Linked DNA regions of Lepisosteus oculatus. The protein of the gene in region 1 purifies or fractionates together with the protein of each later gene. This does not show direct contact. Links are inferred from orthologs where the notes say so. Each region holds a gene or a part of one and is shown in the gene's direction. Other genes may lie near its edges.

The links.
Region 2: the proteins of zc3h18 (region 1) and RNA-binding protein with serine-rich domain 1 purify together in Homo sapiens (affinity purification with mass spectrometry; 3 studies listed by BioGRID and IntAct, with this or other methods). This does not show direct contact. The link is inferred for Lepisosteus oculatus from reciprocal best matches to the Homo sapiens genes ZC3H18 and RNPS1.
Region 3: the proteins of zc3h18 (region 1) and sf3a2 purify together in Homo sapiens (affinity purification with mass spectrometry; 3 studies listed by BioGRID and IntAct, with this or other methods). This does not show direct contact. The link is inferred for Lepisosteus oculatus from reciprocal best matches to the Homo sapiens genes ZC3H18 and SF3A2.

What each region holds. Positions count from the first base shown.
Region 1 is NC_090715.1:14,060,655-14,064,405, forward strand, and holds the start of zc3h18 (zinc finger CCCH domain-containing protein 18), read left to right. Parts: upstream 1-1,070; 5' UTR 1,071-1,129; coding exon 1,130-1,261; intron 1,262-2,619; exon of another isoform or gene 2,620-2,624; coding exon 2,625-3,368; intron 3,369-3,751.
Region 2 is NC_090714.1:5,335,169-5,338,919, forward strand, and holds the start of RNA-binding protein with serine-rich domain 1, read left to right. Parts: upstream 1-1,363; 5' UTR 1,364-1,471; coding exon 1,472-1,473; intron 1,474-3,751. UniProt on the Homo sapiens protein: Part of pre- and post-splicing multiprotein mRNP complexes. Auxiliary component of the splicing-dependent multiprotein exon junction complex (EJC) deposited at splice junction on mRNAs.
Region 3 is NC_090724.1:8,584,887-8,588,637, forward strand, and holds the start of sf3a2 (splicing factor 3A subunit 2), read left to right. Parts: upstream 1-1,344; 5' UTR 1,345-1,434; intron 1,435-1,869; exon of another isoform or gene 1,870-1,947; intron 1,948-2,708; 5' UTR 2,709-2,852; intron 2,853-3,506; 5' UTR 3,507-3,571; coding exon 3,572-3,751. Other genes in the region: plekhj1 (pleckstrin homology domain-containing family J member 1), read right to left, coding at 1,006-1,099. UniProt on the Homo sapiens protein: Component of the 17S U2 SnRNP complex of the spliceosome, a large ribonucleoprotein complex that removes introns from transcribed pre-mRNAs.

The sequences.
Region 1 (3,751 bases):
AGTTATCAGAGTAGAGGTTATGAATTCCCAATTTGAAGGTTAAGAGGTCAGCTGTTAGCGCACTGCTGTTGTATAAGCTTAGGCTCTCAGGCCTAGTTCAGTCTGAAATGGCCCACTGAATAAATTAGTACAAATATAAGTCACGTTGGACGAAAGTGTCAAATTGTGTTTTAAGTTTCTAGTTAAAAGTTTAATTAAATCTCAAATCAAATACATATTTCAAGTTCTTGGGTGAAAAAATACATTTGAAGAATTGTTATCGTTGTTAAAAAATGTTGTAAAATGTCCAAAAAAAAAAGGGTTTCGACAAGAAACATACTGTATACCGAATACTTCAAGTGTCGTTCACCTGGGATACCTCAAATTCCGCCCGTTTTCAGCGGGACTGCACGGAAATTTGTAAATGAGGTTTGATCTCCATCTAGTGGTAGATGTTGGTATCACATAATCTCCAAACTCCTGCAGTCGATAGTATGGGCGGTTGAATTGAAGGCACATAGAAATGGGATGCATTTTCCGGTGGAAAGTCAAAGAGCCTGTCCAACTCTGAAACAGATATGCCGCCTTCAGAGTGACACCAGCTGCTTTTTGATATTTCAAAAATTGGAAGCAAAGGTTAGTTTTAAAAGTTAGTCGTGGAAAGATCTGAGACAGCTCTGTAATAGAAGATAACGTCTCTTTCTGAGCAGAAAGTCGAGTGCACATAGTGAAACGTTTGAAAACTTCCAATCCAAAAGGCCAATGAGGTTGTACAAAAGCAACATCTGTGGTTAGACGTTAAAAGGTCATTTTCACGACACTCACGTTCTAAGCAATGTAGCTATTTTACACATTTTGTTTGAAAATTAACATCACCGACGCTTCTCCTGTTAGTTTATTATGTGAACAAGTTATTTTGATTATGATTGCTGGCTGCCCTAATTTTGGCGATAACGTTAGTTAAGAATAAAAACTAAACAAAAGCCATTGTAATACTGGCAATCATATAAAGCATATCCAGATTTGATCTTCGGCGAATAACAAAGTACCGCCTGGCACCCTTAACGTCCTAGTCCTCTGCGCCGTCTGACGCCGTCTTGCCTTGATGACGTAACGGCAATGGCCGCTCTCACTGTGTAGAGCAGGGTTTATGAATCTCTCCGATAGAAGAAAAAGCAATCCGAATATTTATTACTGTGTACAGCTTTACACTTGGACGGGGAGAGACGGGGTAGTAGTTACGATCACACTCCTGTCTCAAAAGACGTACAGGTTGGCAACGGTAACAGTCAGATATCTGCTATTTTTTTGTGATTATTTTTTTGAAGGGGGGAGGTCTGTATTGTTGATGAACAGGGAAGCATGGCTGCTTAGCAGATTAGGAAGGGGGCTAAAACCAAGAAGGTATTTTAAGGGGGGAAAGTAGTTGTTGTCCCGGAAAGGTAAGTTAAATCTGTTTTATAGGGATTTTAGGCGCTCTCATGATGCATCTGCAGAGACGGTGTTCTGCCTGGTTCACTGAAGGCAGTCGTGGGGCCTGCTGTCTTCCAAGCCGCTATATTCTTCATTGATTCACTAATTTATTTGGTGGCATAATAGCCCAGCGAGTGAAGTTGTAGGCAGGGGGGTAAATTCATAGGAGTGCGATTTGATGGTTTTAAACGAGACAATGATACCTGATCCTGCACTGTATAGAAAGACAATTTAAGGAAAACGAAACCCTTGCTATCAGGTTATAGACTAGAGTATTTATCACCTAAACCTATTTATGCAGGCCAATTTGTTTTAGTTCTTTATCGAGGTGTTTTGTTTGGATTTATGTGCAAATTCTAAATTGTACATAAAATTGTACTTTTCGTTTTAGTCCTACTCAACGGACGATCGTATTTTTTACACAGGTCACGTAGTTTTCGCTTGCTAGATTACTTGTAGATCGTGGCTAGACACTAGAATGTCTCGTTCTTGTACTAATAAAATGAGCTATTAGCATTATTCTGCAAATCTCAACAAATGGGAATGCAGTAGGGTAGCAATTTTTTAGACAACATCCTATTCTCTTTTTATATGTGCGTTTTTTTAAGTTTTTCACAGTAATCTAAATGAAAAAATAATAGATTAACAATTTAGAAACTAAACAGCTATTCTCTATTGGTCATATATATATATAATAATTTACTTTTAAGCTTTGTTGTTAAGCTCACTTTCCTCAATGGGCAGGGCTACAGAGGAAGACATAATGTGATAAATAATAAGAAAAGTTGACACCTTCCTGAAAGTGTTTTTGAATCCCAAGTAAAGACTATTAAAAGAGCAAATAAATTCACTTCATTCTTTAAAAGAAATTAACCAACTCCCACCTCTTACCAGGCTCTATACTACTTGAGTCTGATCCTGGAGTAGTAAAATTAGATGCTGCATTAAATAGTATACTAGTGACAAATGTCAAAAATTTGGTAACCGGATTTAATTTTCTGATATATCTGACAGGGGGCTAGAAAGTATATCTGATCTGTGGAGAACTAATCCTCAGTCAAAGGCTAGGCTTTAAAATCAGTGTTCAAATTAATTTGCTTTCCTTCTGATCTGTGTGTTTACAGTGTGACTTATAGGGTCTTTATTCTGCTCGTGTCTTCTCTGTAGAGCAGCCTCCAATGGATGCAACTGAAAGCCCCAGTCATGACAGACAGTCCCTGGAAGAGAAAGAGACCTCGGACAGCGAGATGCTGAAAGAGGACAGTCAGGAGGGTGGGGCGGAGTCGGACCTGGAGGATCTAGAGGACGAGGGTGGGGAGAGAGTGTCGGACCAGGAGGAGGAGGAGGAGGATGGGTATGGAGGGGAGCTGTGCCACGAGGTCCCGTCAGGTGCAGCATTGACGAGGGGGCGAGGGGTGAATTGCTCGGACGATGAAGAGGAGGAGGATCGAGTCAGCCAAGAGGCGAAGTCCCCCGACTCGGAGCCTGATCTGGGCCGGGAGAAGCTTTTGTCTTCCCCGCTAGCGGAGGAGGAAGAGGAGGAGGACGACGAGGGGGTGAAGGCAGCAGCTGCGGACAGCCGGGTAAGCGACCTCAAGGACGAGTCCTCGTCAGTGACGCGGGAGCTGGACGAGCACGAGCTGGACTACGACGAGGAAGTGCCCGACGAGCCGAGCGGCGCCGCCCCCGAGGATGAGGACGGGGACAGGGTGCCTGGGGAAGAAGGAGAGGAGGAAGAGGCAGACCCTGAGGATGAGGAAAAGAAGGAAAAGAGGAAGGACTCCCAGCAGCCAGAAAAGGTCACTGAGCCCAAAAGGGCAGAGGAGCCCAAGGCTCCTGAGAGGGGTCGGAGAGATTCCTTACGAGATAAAAAGAAAGATGACGACGATGGAGAGATCGATGAGGGAGAAATAGATGTAAGTGGAGAATCTCTTTTGTTTTAAGATCATCTTTTGTTCTGAACGTTGACAGCTCAGTGTTCTAAAGAGCAGGTGTTCATTTTATTTCCTAAATGCATTATTTTTCACCAAGTTTTGCTTTAAACGTGAACCTTCGGAGCAGATGAAGCTTCTGTACCCAAACTACTCTTTACCATGCTCAAGTAAAGAGCTTGTTTTCACACTGCAGATCTGGAGCAGCAACATGTCAGCCAGACTGCACTCTCCGGTCATTTTTATCCCTCGGCGTTTCTGTGTGGTGTTCCAGGGACCCCCAGATGATGTTCCCCAAAGCGAACTGGAGTCTTCCAGTGTTCTCCTTCATTGAATCAGTTCACTTAGAATGAAATTAAAATTTATAT
Region 2 (3,751 bases), on another chromosome or scaffold:
GTGGGGGGATATGAGTACCTGTGTTTCCTATTGATCAGTTGTTTATCTCCGTTTCTCTATGGGATAAATAAAGTATTATCTATCTATATACTAAAGAGCTGTTTCTATTGGTCAAAAAGAGGAGGCGTCTATTCAATTCTAATTGGTCAGACAAGGATCTGAGCAGCCAATCATATCATTTTCTAGGTAACCAGTGACAAAGCTAGATGACAATCTTCATGTACTGGAGATGGTCGAAGTTCTTGAAAGTTTCGAACAGATAGGATTACAGAAAGACATTTTGTTTAAATTGAATAGAAGGCAACCTTCTAATCTCTGAATCATTTTTACGTCTTCATAAATTCTCTTAGCATTATAATAACCACAAACGAGTTAGAGCAGAGCTCTTATAATAAGTATAATGTTTGACAACAGAATCCACCTTTAACAGACATCGTTGTCTATAGGCATGTAGATATGTATAAAAGTGTTTCGTATGTGTATTGAATGGTACTTATTCCGATTGCTGTGGATGTTGTGCAAACTCGTCGGTTTCGGTTTGACTGCTAAGACAATTGAAAAGCGCGTCATTTACAATCTATGAAATGTTTAGAAGGGGTAAATCTGATTGCGTTTTTACCCCAGTGTCGTAGTTAACTGACCAAAGAAAACAATTTACTGTTAGCTTTTGTCTGCACTTGAAGCATGACGTTTTTTAAACATATAATGTATATATGTTCAATTATTTTAGGTGAAAATAAACATTTTCAAATATTCCCTGGGTCTGCAATGAATGAAACAAAAGTTTCAAATGTTGTTCAACTTAGTACATAGTACCCCTTAAAAAACAATTTCCAGGTTTTTTAACGTTTCCGAATTTACTTTGCATAAAACAGTACAATGGTCTTGTAATACAGGACGTTTATAAGTTTTTTAAATAATTTTTATTTATTTATGCATAAACTATAACAAAAATACAAATACAAGCAAGAGTGCATATAACATTTCAAGACAAAAAAAACATCGTCAGGGGGTATATATTACAAAATAAATTCAAATTATGAAAAAAAGTTTAAACAAAGATAACGTCCCCACTGCTTTCATATTTTTACATTTTTAAATAGTCTGTAGATATTCCTTTACATCCATTTTAAAATGCTTTAAACATATGATTCTTCCCAGACCACTTCATTTTGTGTATATAACGTGCCATTATAATTAAATTTATTACAAACGGTATTTTAGAATTGTTTTGGATGGGGCTGAAACTTAACATGCCATCTTTTTCTCCAAACAAATAACAGCTCCTACAATTTACTCCCCCTGTGCCCAGCCGCTTATTAACACCTCCTTGGGCTGCCTGTGTTACTGTGTTTGAGGAGGAAATTCAGTTACGTTCTCGGCACAGACCACGGCGATACAGTCTGACGAGTTTGGCCGCTTCTGCGTCATCAATCTGCGCCCGCCGCGGAGGGAGACTTTCTGAGCGGAGATGTAAGTTTGTGTGTGTTTTTTTTTTTAGAAACCATCTAATGCAATCCTCGATGTTATAGCGGTTTTAGGACACTGAATCTTGTTTTTATAAATTATTTAGTCGAAAGCAATGCATCTCGAAGTGATATTTCCTGTCGCGGTGTTGGGATTGTGCTTGATTTTGGAGCGGGGGGGGTGTTGCTTGAAAGCAGAGCTTTGAACAGATGAATGAAAACATCAATGGCGGACGAGTGGGTTCGTTTGCCGAGTACAACGGGGGGTTTGGATTGTTTCCACAAATGCACTGAAACTAGGAACATAAAACGTTAATTGTAACTTCGTCTATGAAAATGTAGGGCAGTTTCTAAAAGCTTTACGAACACAAAGCCTAACACGTCTCTGTACTGTCGACGGCTTTATTTAACGTACACAGTGAGGTTTGTGTAGTTCGTGTACACAAACCTCAGCTAAACCTCACAAAATTTCTACTTTACAGTTCACGTAATGCAGAATTCTCTCCATGTGGCTTAATGTGCTCAAGGATCAACAAATACATAAACTCTATAAAGGTAATTGAGATAATAACCCCCCTCCCCAAATCGTGCGTATTTAAGTAAGTTTTCCATTTACGCAATATGGGCTAATAATCATTTAAGATATATATAGTGGATTTCGCTTAATGTAAAAAACACACCGTGGTTTAACTCGCTACATTCAAATGGTTATCCTAGAAATTTGCGCATGGAGAGCTTAGAATTAGTTTTTCAGTGCCTCTTGGAAAATTGTCCCTAAACAGAGTTTTGCACAGATTTTCCCTGAGCAGCATTCTCTAAAGCCACTCGCAGTCTGTTAAATTGTACTTAAGAATATGAAACTGTTAAGACACTGTACGGTGCTTACCTTAAATGGGTTAATGCGTAGGTGCTGACCAAACAGCAATACCGTGTATAGTTGTACACATATTTTAATTATATATCGATAGTGTTGCCATCCATTTTAACGTTTTTGTTTGCATGTATTCTTTTTAGCATTTAAGCTTTTAACATTATGTATTGGAACATGTTTTGAAATATTCCTCCAGTTAGTGTCGCCTTTCTAGCTCGGTTTTTAACATTGGATTTTAGCATTTGCAAACTTGCCACATTAAACATTTAAGCCCTCTTGGAATGGTCTTTGGAACTAGTGGGGCTGCCACTTAAAAGGAGGTTTGTTTGTGTGTTTTGCCCAGTTGAGCCTTTTCCAGATTGGGCTCAGTTACTGAGGGTTGCAGGACAGGCCTAGCTCGATGAGAAGCATGCTGGTTTAAGTGTGCATGTCTTGGCTAAAAAAAAGGAGCAAGTAACGGTTTATTCCATGCTGAAAAGTAGAAATAAGAACCAATGTTTTGGCTGTTGAGCCATTTTCAGTTGTGAGAGAGGAAGTTAACTGGAATATAAGGCACAGGAGAACAGAGGACTGAGTAGGTGGGAATGAGAGAGTGTCCACACAAAGGCCAAGGTGTGAAAAGCTGAAATGATCGTACTGTACACTAACAAAAAGCCATTTTTTGGGGGGTGGGGGTAGTATGAGTAGGTGTTTGGTTTATTTGCAAGGTTATTCAAATAATGGGATTGAAGTTCAGCATATTAAGCTACTATTTCCTGCTTTAAGCTTTTAAGCATGTCCCTGAAAGTATTCATAGAGTGTTGGACTTGCTGGTGCTCTCTTGTGTTCATACAGGATCACGTAAGATGTCAGTGGCTCCCTATTGTGTTGTTTCTTGGGCCTTCCGAAGTTCAGGGCTTGAAGAGCTTCTTCACTGCCTGATAACTTGATCCTTGGGGCAGACGCCTCTTACAGACAGAGCACTTGTTCCTGAAAGGTGACAGTGCACACTGATGCTCTGCTAGGAACACAGTACAGGAACTTTACCCTCCTTCCCTTACAGTCCAGTTCGAAACGCTCCCCCTCAAGTCTTTCTCCCTCTCCCAGTGTGAGATGGTGAAATGTAATATTGTTAAACTTGACAGTGGTTTCTCTTCTCTGTTTATTGAAAAGTCATTTATTCTAACTGGCGGTGAAGATTTCCAGTTAACACAGGGTGTGAACAGTTTGAGTGCGAAACACCACTGACCTTTTACACAGTAAATATTCACACTTTGTGCCATGTAAAATAATACTGTCTAAATTAGTCATTTATACAGACATTTCTTCATGATGGAAAAGGTTTTTAGAGGTAGCATCTGGCTGCCTCCAGATGACTGAATGTTTGAAACTGCATTACAGTTTTTTTAAATAATTATGATCATCTGGTTATTCA
Region 3 (3,751 bases), on another chromosome or scaffold:
TGTCCATGGCCATGTCTCAAGATGTGACCCGCGGGCTGGAGCCAGGCGGACTGGACCAGACCGGTTTCCCCTGGCAACTGTGACCTCCTCCTCCTCCTTCTCTCTCTCTCTGGCCTGTCCTTCTGCTGGTCCACCATTCCAGCGAGCTTCACTAGCACAACCGATGGGTTACAGTGCCACCAAACATGACAATTAACACAACAGCTTGGCCATTTCACATATGACACAGGCTCGCTGTGTGTCACACACACACACACCAGGCTGCAGCTCGATTGCATTGGCTCCCCAGCAGGATCGGGAGCTGTTCTGGGTCTGGTAGGTGTGGGAATGCTGGGCTGAGATTAGTCACTGTGGGGAAGGATGTTTGTCTGTCTGATCAGGGCAGCAGAAAGCACGTCTCCGTCTCTGTTCTTCTCCCTCACTTTTTCTGTTCCTCTCCCACAGGGCCAGACGGGGGGGCAGCGGCTATAAATAACTGCGATAAGACAGCAGACGGGCGCTTCCTTAAAAAATAGCTCCCTTTCTGTGCCAGAAAGAGAAAACAATGGTGTGTATCTCGGGGGGCCGCAGACTCTGAGAAAGCATCTCCGAGCTGCAGACCTCCTGGAAACATTTTACACATCGTAATTCCTTCCATCTTCATACCCTTCCCTCGGCAAGGTTACGGTTTTAGCCTGGATTTTTTTTTTTGTAAGATAAAACAAAGAGACTAAACAGTCTAGCTGGGAAAACAAATGCGAAGACAAGAAGCACACCGGTTAGTAGAAATGAGCCTCATGTCCGGTTAGGTGAAACCGGTCCAGTTAGAGGACAGAAAGAGACAGAGCGCCGAGTCCCAGTTATAAGCAAACACCGTTTCATGAGTACAGCTGCGACCTAACGGATAAGGACAGGCGACAGCAGGGCAGGGAGACGAAGACAGACAGGGAAGTGGACACGGAAAAGACACGCGTGGAGCGGCAGGGAGAAGGGAGGGGAGGGAGAGCCCCGTGTGCCCGTCCGTACCGTCGCCTCTCTTGGGTCCTCGCATGCCCAGCTGGGCCGCCCTCTCGGAGGGCTGGCGGCTGAGCGACACCAGCTCCCTCTCGTTAAACCGCATTCCTCCTCCTCCTCCTCCGCCGCCGCGCCGCTACCGCCGGCCTGGCATCGCCCCGGGAAACCGGCGACCGCCGTCCGCTCCGGCTGCCACACGCACGCACACACCCACCCGGATCTCGGCGATCCCTGTCCCACTCGGGACAGCCGGACTCGCGTTACCAGGCGACGGGGTCTTGCGCGTTTCTCTCCGCAGCTTCTCACACCTGCCCACCGCTCCGCCCTGCGAGTCTAGCGGCCTCACAGGCAGACAGACCCCGGGGTCACGGTTTTCCACCGCCGGACCGGACCCTCCCCTGCGACACAGCTGCGCTCCGCACCCGGAAACGGTGGTCAGCGGTGAGGGTTTTCCGCGTTAAATACCAGCCATAGTAAAATACAGACTACGTCTTAATAGTCTCGTCCACTCGTGGCTAATTTTTCGTAGTGGCTGCCGTAGTCTTATTTTTCTCTTTTTTTATTCTTAATAAATGTGTAAACCAATTGCTATTGTATTCACTCCGTCCTTAATTCGCATTAAGAAAAAACTACAAATCCCAGATTGCCAAACGCTTTCTACGGTCGTGTTTGCGTGGCAGGATTTCTGGGACATGTAGTCAATTTTAAATGTCATGTGACAAATGTGATCTTGAACACGTTTTTGGTGCAATTATTTTTAAAACATACACAACTGGACAGTTTCTGAAATGACAGGTTTTGTATTTGAAAAATTGTCCGAATATGCCGCATTAACAAAATTAAATGAAGAGTTATTTTGAATTACTGGTCATGTCACAGCGAAGAGATTGTTAATAAAGTTTGGTTTCCCTGCGCATGTACTGTTTGACCGGAAGTTACAAGCGTGTGTTGTTGGTAAGGTAGTCGTTCGAAATGTTACTTATAATGTCTACAATACTTGTTTTAAAAATGAAATTAATACATTTTTACAACTGTAAATGTATGTGAATAGTTTGGGTGCTTGTACATGCTATTTAAGGTTTGCTAAGTTTGGTAGCTTTTAAGATAAATTTGTTTCTAGATTCGGGACACCTCGTTGTTACTTTTTAAAAATAACATTTCACTGTGAGATTTGTAATTATCTAATAAGGGAGTGTTCTTACAATGTAACCTTTGTTTTAGGAATTATAAAATTACTTCATTTTAACAAATAAGATATTAACAAATCCTCTCTGTAATCAATATTAGCGCCCTTCGATCTTCACGTAACTATTTGTGACCTTTCCGGTTTAAAAATTATTCAGTGACCGAAACGTCTGCGTGTAATGTTTTAGATTAAGTGTGAGAAAGGCATCGACTTTAAACTGTTTGTCCACGGTTTTTAATTAATTACGGTACGTTACAGATGTATTAAGTTGCGTTATCCATTAATTACTCGTTAATCACTACTTGTTGGTGTTCTGGCGGGGCTGTGCAGCTCCTTCTCAAACCCCCGATAGTTCACCATTAAATCGCGGGTTTCTGAAGCTTATGAAGTTTCTTAGTGATAAGATAAGCATCTGCTGGTTCTCTGGTTCCAACGATCCTCTGTTTTGAAGTTCAGAGCCCTGAACGTTAACCGCGGATTAAAACGCTGCTGTAAATGTGGATTAAACTTTAATTCAATGTATTTATAGGCCCGATCGTCAAGTCATCGTCTGTCGTCCTCCAGTCCTGCGCCAGTGGCCAGTGGAGAGCTGTGGAAAGCGAGCAGAGGAACTGCCCCCAGCTCTGCCGGAGGTCCCTGTTGTGGGGAAAGTTTTCCCACAGCCGTGTTTATTGTGAGTTCACCTTGTCCGTTTTTCAGGAGGTGTCTTTTTTTTTTTCAGCAGCCATATCACCCTGCGGCTCCCAGCTGGCAGCCCCACTGGAGCCCAGCAGGTGTGAGCCTGGCCAGTACCTGGAGGGGAGACTCCTGGGAAAGCTGAGGCTGCTGCTGGAAGAGGTGTTAGTGGGACAAGTAGGCCCTAATGCATCCCTCAGATGAGAAGTAAAACCGAGGTTCCGACTGTGGTCATTAAAAATCCCATCACATTTTTCAAAAAGAAAAATGTTACCCCAGTGTCCCGGCTAAATTCCCCCCTGGCCTTTACCCATCATGGCCTCCTGATAATCCCCCTCTCTGAACTGGCTTCATCACTCTGCTCTCCTCCCCACTGAGAGCTGGTGTGTGGGGAGCGGACTGGCGCATCACCCAGGTGGGGGTACACACTGGTGGTGGTGGAGGGGATCCCCATGACCTGTAAAGCGCTTTGAGTGGAGTGTCCAGAAAAGCGCTATAGAAGTGCAATGAGTGATTATTATTTTTCCTGAGTGGGGCGCCGCGGGGTCCCATCTGTGTGGTGGGTTGTTGTTGTTGTTGTTGTTGTTGGTGGTGCTGGACTGGTGGAGCAGTGAGAGTCTGACCAGTGTCTCCCCCCACCCCACCCCCCCAGGGCCCGGTGTTTTACCCGCGGCCGAGCGAGAGAGAGCGTGTCCCTGAGCCCGCGCGCCCGCCAGGATGGATTTCCAGCACCGGCCGGGGGGGAAGACGGGGAGCGGGGGGGTCGCCTCGGCGTCGGAGAGCAACCGGGACCGGCGCGAGCGCCTGCGGCAGCTGGCCCTGGAGACCATCGACATCAACAAGGACCCCTACTTCATGAAGAACCACCTGGGCTCCTACGAGTGCAAACTGTGCCTG